2 linked regions of the Canis lupus familiaris genome follow. The protein of the gene in region 1 interacts with the protein of each later gene in a biochemical or structural test. Links are inferred from orthologs where the notes say so. Each region holds a gene or a part of one and is shown in the gene's direction. Other genes may lie near its edges.

Evidence for each region. The genes of interacting proteins can lie anywhere in the genome.
Region 2: the proteins of PIN1 (region 1) and PKM form a complex in vitro, tested with the Homo sapiens proteins (2 studies listed by BioGRID, with this or other methods). The link is inferred for Canis lupus familiaris from reciprocal best matches to the Homo sapiens genes PIN1 and PKM.

What each region holds. Positions count from the first base shown.
Region 1 is NC_049241.1:51,553,131-51,556,696, reverse strand, and holds part of PIN1 (peptidyl-prolyl cis-trans isomerase NIMA-interacting 1), read left to right. Parts: intron 1-262; exon of another isoform or gene 263-398; intron 399-1,100; exon of another isoform or gene 1,101-2,133; intron 2,134-2,419; exon of another isoform or gene 2,420-2,687; intron 2,688-3,141; coding exon 3,142-3,252; intron 3,253-3,566. UniProt on the Homo sapiens protein: Peptidyl-prolyl cis/trans isomerase (PPIase) that binds to and isomerizes specific phosphorylated Ser/Thr-Pro (pSer/Thr-Pro) motifs.
Region 2 is NC_049251.1:36,154,066-36,157,631, reverse strand, and holds part of PKM (pyruvate kinase PKM), read left to right. Parts: exon of another isoform or gene 1-361; coding exon 362-528; exon of another isoform or gene 529-926; coding exon of another isoform or gene 927-1,093; exon of another isoform or gene 1,094-1,638; intron 1,639-1,740; exon of another isoform or gene 1,741-2,776; coding exon 2,777-2,958; exon of another isoform or gene 2,959-3,566. UniProt on the Homo sapiens protein: Catalyzes the final rate-limiting step of glycolysis by mediating the transfer of a phosphoryl group from phosphoenolpyruvate (PEP) to ADP, generating ATP.

The sequences.
Region 1 (3,566 bases):
AGAGGCAGTCACCCACCAGGGTCACAGAGCTCGGGATGGGTAGAGCTGAGATCTGAATACAACAGTGGGGGAGTCTAGAGTTTACCCGCCTTGGCCTCAGAGACGCATGGAGCAGGCCAGCCTGTGACCTCCCAGCAGCGACAGATGCACTTCTGTCATGCAGCCAGTTTCAAAGGCCCCCCAACTCCCCAAATCAGGTAAAAGTTCCCTGCTTCAGATGGGGAGCTCCTTGAGAGGCTGCCCCCCAGGATCTGCCTCTCACCTGGAGCGCCCGTTGGATGGAGTGCCGTCTCGGTGAGGGGTGTTGAGGCAGGCTGGCTAGGTCAGGGCATCGCCAGGAGGGTGGCAGGGGGTGTTTGGTATGTGCTTCCTTTTCCTCCCCCCTTGAGCATTTGGATCTAAGGCACAGAGGAAAGAGACATGAGATTCCAGCATTTCTGTCTAAGGAGCGGAGGGGTGGATCCCTCTCCCTCCTTCTCTGTGGCCTGTTTCTGTCTCATTTATTCATGAATTCCTTCAGCATTAGGGAGCACCTGTTCTGTGCACAGGGCCAGGTGCTGGGAACACAGCAGCGAGCAAGGCCCACTGGCCCTGCCCTCCCAGTCTGAGGCAGGTGACACACAGATGGGACACTGGCAAATGTAGGGGGGCACCTCCCACAGCGGGGTCTTAGGAAAGACTCCTGGATGAGGCCAGAGGACAACAAATGAGCTTCCTATGGGAAGAGACCATTAAGCAAAGGCCTCGAGGTGGCAGGGGCAGGGCAGACTGGGAGGGCTGTCACGGGGGCTGGGTTAATACTGAGCCCAGGGGATGCACAGGGGCCTGAGGGTTCCCTTGCATCTTGGCTTGTGGCCAGACTCCTGACGGGCAGCTTCTAGAAAGAGGAGATGAGAAAGCAGTGATTTTTTTTTGTTTGTTTTTAAGTCACTTGAGGCTCCTGTCCAAGCAGAACATTTCCTGAGAGTTGGCTGATCAGAGGAAGATTTGGGTGCTATGAACTATGGCGGGCAGAAACTTGGCTTTTATTTGATTTTTGGGCTGATATCTGTGTGTACCATGGCCAGGCCATCTAGTCTCAGGGATCCCTGCTGACTCACAGCATCGGCTCCTGGAGGATGCGGCAAGGTGGTGCTGTACTGGGCTCGGCTCTGCAGGTGCGGGGCCTGTGCCCGGAGCCGGGCAGGTTACAGCAGGGAGCACTGTATGCACAGGATTCTCTGGCCAGCGAATCGAGGTCCAGACAAGGGAAAGGAGGAAGAATCTTGAGGCTGCCCAGGTGAGGCGAAGAGATAGCCCGGAGTCCAGGGAGTAGAGAAGTCTCGGTGATGTCCAGTTCAGGCTGGATCACTAATGGGTGCAGCTAGCACTGGGGGGCCACCTAGCAGCCCCAGCGGGCATGGTCAGCCCCAGCATGGGCATTGCAGGCAGAAGCCACCCCTGCCCATGGAGGGTGGGGCTCATGTCGCACTGGCAAGCTTTTCTGACCAGGCAGCCTGTCCCATGACAAGATGCACAGGCAGGATAGCCCAGGGATGGGCAAGTCACACAGAAACGGGGGGAGTCTTATCACTGAGACGCGTGGCCCTTATGGATGGGAGAATTGTGACAGCACCTAACATTTGTCAGAGTCTCCATGGCAGGCACACTGTGCTGTCACTGTGGTCTGCTGGCAGATGACTAATGGGCCAGCAGCAGAGGGATGGTTGGGACATGGGGATGACAGGGTGAGGGGGACAGCAGTGGAAGGCCCCCAGTGGACCAGATACCAGGACCCAGGCGCTGCCATGGTGTGGGACAGGATGGGGTGATAGATGTGTTGTCACAGTTGTGTTGTTTCAGTTGTGGTCATAGCGGAGTTTGCACGAGCTCAGCAGGCAGATGGCCCCGGCTGGGTGTCTGGGCCTCAGTTCGCCAGGTGGCTTAATCAGCAGCGTCCCTGTGGTGCTCAGACAGGAGCAGTGGAGGGTGGTGTGCAGAAGCCCACTAGCAGGGATAACAGGGTGATCCTCACACCCGGGGTGGGCTGGGTGGGTGTGCAGAATGTCCCCAGGAGAGTAGCTGTCAGGGAGGCCATGTGGGACCAGGGTGGTCTGGAGCTGCATGTCCTGGGAGTCCACCCCGTGGCTGCGCCTGTGGGTGCAGGGACAAGACTGGCAGGAATGTTCCTTCAAGCGCTGGGGCAGCTGGTTGGAGCAGGATGGGGCATTTTGAGGAGGAGAGGGTGGGCTCTGGCTCTAGGGGCTCCTGCCTGGAACCTGGACTCAGGAGCAACAGGAGGCTCTTCCTCACCACGCAAACACAGCCTTCCTATGTGCCCTGCTCCCCACATGTGAGTCATATAGGTGCTCAGTGCAGCCTCAGCCTTCCCCCACCCCCCGCCCCCAGGAGATGAGTCCCCAGCGGAAGCAGTTTGTACCACACACAGGATGCATCCAGTGTGATGCCACCACAGCCTTTTAGGGCAGCTGCAAGAACGGTGTCGGCTGCTATGAGGCCATGTCCATGGAAATGACACATGTCCCGTCTCGGCTGCCTTGTGGTCTCTTCACGACGCCCCACTTAGCAGCCTGGGCCTTCCTCCCAGTTCCAATAGGTTGGACAGTTGAGGCCCAGGGGATCCGCCAACAGCTCCTGTGGCAGAGCTGGCCTGGTGCCCCAGCCTCCTGCCTTTCTCCTGGAAACTTCTAGAAAATTTCCCCATCAGTGCCTTGTGGGATCTTGGCAGGGCCCTGGGTCCCAGCATCCCTCTTCAGTATTTGCCCTGCTTTTTGCCCTCCTCCCCAACAGGGCCTAGAGGTAGAGATTTTCCCCAAAATATGTGTTGGGGTGTGGGAAAAGGTCATGTTGTGTTCATGTTATGTCTGTAGGGGGCGGGAGGTAGGAGTGGCAAAGGGAGCTGGGGTGGGGGAACGGGCTCTGAGACCAGTGTGGCTATTGAGGCCACCACAGGGTCAGGGGGCGCACACTTGGTGGCGGGGGGGTGGGGGGTGTTCATGAATGTGTGTGGAGCGAGTGGTCACCCTTGCAAATAGGGCAGGGGTTGCGTGCCTCCTTTCCGAGGGAAGTGCCCCCTCCATCAGGAGCCCCCCGCTCCATCCCACCCTGCCTTTGATGAGAGGTCTCCCTGTATGTCCACAGGCTACATCCAGAAGATCAAGTCAGGAGAGGAAGACTTTGAATCTCTGGCCTCACAGTTCAGCGACTGCAGTTCGGCCAAGGCCAGGGGAGACCTGGGTGCCTTCAGCAGAGGTGCGCAAGGAGTGGGCACTACCTGGCCCTAGAGGAGCCTCTGTCCCAGCCGCGGGGATCCCCCTGCCAGGGGGAGGTTGGGAGGGGTAGCCCCGGCTGTGCAGGTCTTCAGGGTCCACCAGGTGGCAGCACAGTCCCGCAGGCTCCAGAGGGACTCCCACTGCTGGGGGGTTGGCTGGGCTGCAGAGCCCTCTGCCTGGCTTCCTTTCCCCCCTGCGGTGGGAAGTCCGTCTGTGGGTCCCTCGATGCAGTTGTCCCCATCATGGACACGGCAGGGTAGGTACTTGGCTGCCGTGTGCCTCTCCTCTGGTTGG
Region 2 (3,566 bases), on another chromosome or scaffold:
AGCGGCGTGGGCCCAGCCTGGGCATGTTCCTATGCCAAGGCGCCGGTGCCTGCCGCCATCTTGTCTCCCTCTACCCCCCCACCCCCAATCAGAAAATCCTTCCAGAATGGAAAACCCCATTTTTCCTCTTTTGGAGAGGAAACAGCAGCAGTTGATGCTGGAAATTCTCCAGCCATCCCTGAGCAGTTGGGCTTTCATCATGCTGCCTCTTCGCATCTGCATGAAGGACAGATTTAGCCAATTAACCTAAGGTTACCTTCCTCTGATTAATTCCCCATTCTGTCTTTCCATGTGTTGTCTCTCGTTTTTCTCCCTCCTCCTTCCCTCTTCTTGCTTCTCCTCCCCCCTCCAAACCTTACAGATAGCTCGTGAGGCTGAGGCAGCCATGTTCCACCGCAAGCTGTTTGAAGAACTTGTGCGAGGCTCAAGCCACTCCACAGACCTCATGGAAGCCATGGCCATGGGCAGCGTGGAGGCTTCTTATAAGTGTTTAGCAGCAGCTTTGATAGTTCTGACGGAGTCTGGCAGGTAGGGCCCCAAGGGCAGGTAACTCCGTAGGATAACCAGCCTCTTGCTCCAGCTGATCTAGAAGACGGCTGGGGCGCAGCCCTGCAGCTGGGGCCCGGCTCCAGTCCTCTCCTCGTCTGCAGGAAGCCAGCCAGGGAGTCAGGGCAGGGCAGGACCGCAAGGGCCTCCGGCTCGGTAGGCACAGTGGCTGCCACAGGCACCTGGTGATGGGCCAGTTCCCATGAACCTTGGTCTTGCGCGGGTCCGCGGCTCCAGTTGTCCGCCGCCTCTTGGCCTCCTGTCCGGGGACACGTCCCTCACCAGCTGTCTGTGAGCCTCTTCCCCTCCGTCTCCCGTGCGACACCGCTCTGACAGTCCTGTCCCCCTCCTGTCCCTCTGGACGGATGTTGCTCCCCTAGATTGCCCGTGAGGCAGAGGCCGCCATCTACCACTTGCAATTATTTGAGGAACTCCGCCGCCTGGCGCCCATTACCAGCGACCCCACAGAAGCCGCCGCCGTGGGCGCCGTGGAGGCCTCCTTCAAGTGTTGCAGCGGGGCCATAATCGTGCTCACCAAGTCTGGCAGGTAGGAGGTGGCAGCGGCTCCCAGGGCACGCCCTGCTCGGGGCACCTTCCCTGGGCGTCCCGAGAGCCGTGCGTTGATCGGGGCTCAGATGGCCCTGAGCCCAGGTAAGCCCCTCTGCCTGCCACCTGGGCCTGAGGACCCGAGGTTAGACTAGAGACTTCGTTGCCGAACGACAGACTGCACATGCTCACTTGAGTATGTGAAAGTTCATCTTTTAAGAAAGTAATTGATGACCAGTTTTGTTCATTCCAGCCACTACATGCCCTTTAAAAGTTCAGTTTGGGAGATTAGTGCTGTTCACTGACGTGCTGTTGGGTTGGTGCACCTGTCTCTGTCTGTCTTTGAGCCCCAAAGGCAAGCAGATTCAGGCCTAGGAAAGGTCACCACGTCATCTTGCTGGCACCCTAGTGTCGGGCCGCCGAGCTGAGGCTGCTGATTGGCCTTGGCTTGGGATCTCCTCCTCATCTGGACATGGAGTCAGCCTCTGTCATTGCCCCAGTCTGGGAGTGTGCTCCTCATCCCTGCCTGCAGGGCCACAGGAATTCCTGGAAGGGGAAGGGATGGGGTCAGGCTGGTGGTCCCCGAGCATGGAGGTGCGGCAGGTGGGGTTGCGTGTAGAACCGGGACATGAGATCTGTGCAGATTACCTCAGCAGAGGGCTCCGGATAAACAGCTCCAACCATCAGGGTTGACCTTTGTGGAAAGGTCCAGCCTTTGCTCTTTGGCTATTTTTAGCTCCAGTCTTCTGGGATTTCACTCTAACCAGTCCCGACTTCAGCACTTGCTTCCCTCTGAAGCCTTGTATGGGGGCCAGGCCTTTAGCAGGGCAGCCTCTGCTGTGACATGGCTTAAGTTTCCCTGACACCTGTCGGTGTCCTTAGGGCTTGCCTTCCGACGCCCAGTGCCTCCTGCAAGCAAGCCCCTCCCCAGCTCCTGAGACCGGTCTACAGCCACAAGTGTACAATGTTCAAGGAAGCATGTGGCACTGGGGCCCAGAGGGGCCCTCTACCCTCCAGGGGACTCTGCACAGACAGAGCCTCCCACATTAACCTTCCCATCTCCTGGTCTAGCCTCCTGGGTAATACCCAGGTTTGGCTCTAGAGCTGGGTTGCTAGGACTGTTTTAGGGACTTGGGGGCCATGTAGGCTGGGGGAGAGGGCACAGCAGTAGAGGGCTGGCTTTGTAGGTTCCCTGGGGGGCTGGTGAGCTCTGCTGCTGTTCTTTGCAGATGCCAAGAGTCAGGTGCTATTCACATGCTGCTTGGCTTGTAGCTGCTGCTGGCAGCAGGAGGAATGGGTGCTGGTGAGGTTGGGCAGGGCTGTATCTGTGCCAGGATGGGAAAGTTCAGAGGAGGGGCTTCTGCCAACTGAGTCGTGTGGGGTGAGTGGGTGAGACTGACCGCGCCGGGTCGGTGTGATCCTGGGGCCCTGGGCTGTGGGGAGGGGGGTAAAAAGCCAAGTGGACAGATAGCATAGGAAGAAGAGTCGGATTCTGTTCCTCGGAAGGTGGAGGACGAGGGGCAGCCCTGGCACGGGGAGCAGATGCTAAAGTGGCCAGAGTCTGATGCTGGCAGAATGAGTTGGATTAGAGGCTGAGTTGTTGCTGAAGGCCCTGTGGGGGGCTCTGGGAGGCTCTGGAACACTGTTTAATGGTCTCTTCTGCTTGGCCGTCATCCTGTCGCAGGTCCGCTCACCAGGTGGCTAGATACCGCCCCCGCGCCCCCATCATCGCTGTGACCCGGAACCACCAGACTGCTCGCCAGGCCCACCTGTACCGCGGCATCTTCCCTGTGGTGTGTAAGGACCCAGTGCAGGAGGCCTGGGCTGAGGACGTGGACCTCCGGGTGAACTTGGCCATGAATGTTGGTGCGTGGCTGGGAGCAAGGGCTAGCACCTGCCTGGAGGGGTGGGGACGGTGCTTGGGCACTGATCTCCCTGGGATCCTAGAGAAAGGGGAACATGCTGACCTTGGAGTGTGCAAGAGTCCTAGCTGTCTTCCCAGGGAACGTTCTCTGACTCCTCCTTCCCATTCCCTGAAGTTCTGGGCTAAGCCCAGGAGGGAGGAGGAGCCTTGGAGTTCTGGGGCTGAGCTGCCCACTTCTCTGTCTTCCCATCCGGGGCCCAAAGCAAAGGATCCTGGATAGTCAGGAATGTCCCTTCTTGGGCATCTGCTCCTTGTTGAGGGTTAAGAAAAGATTAGAGCGTTACATCATGGGGTGTCCTACACACAGATCACGTACTCATGGCCTTTGTCCCTAATAAAAGTAGGATGTCCGTGCATGAGAGGGACTACTCCACCCTCTAGAGTATAAAATGATGTCCAAAGGTCCCCGGCAGCTGCCATTTCAATTGATGAGGAAGAGTCGGGGCCTCCCTGGTCCCTGGGCTGGGCGGCTTGCGCCACCTTGTGGTGGGAGGCAGTAAGGGTCACCCAGTCTGGCTACCTCGGCGGGCGGGTCAGACAGGTGCTCTCC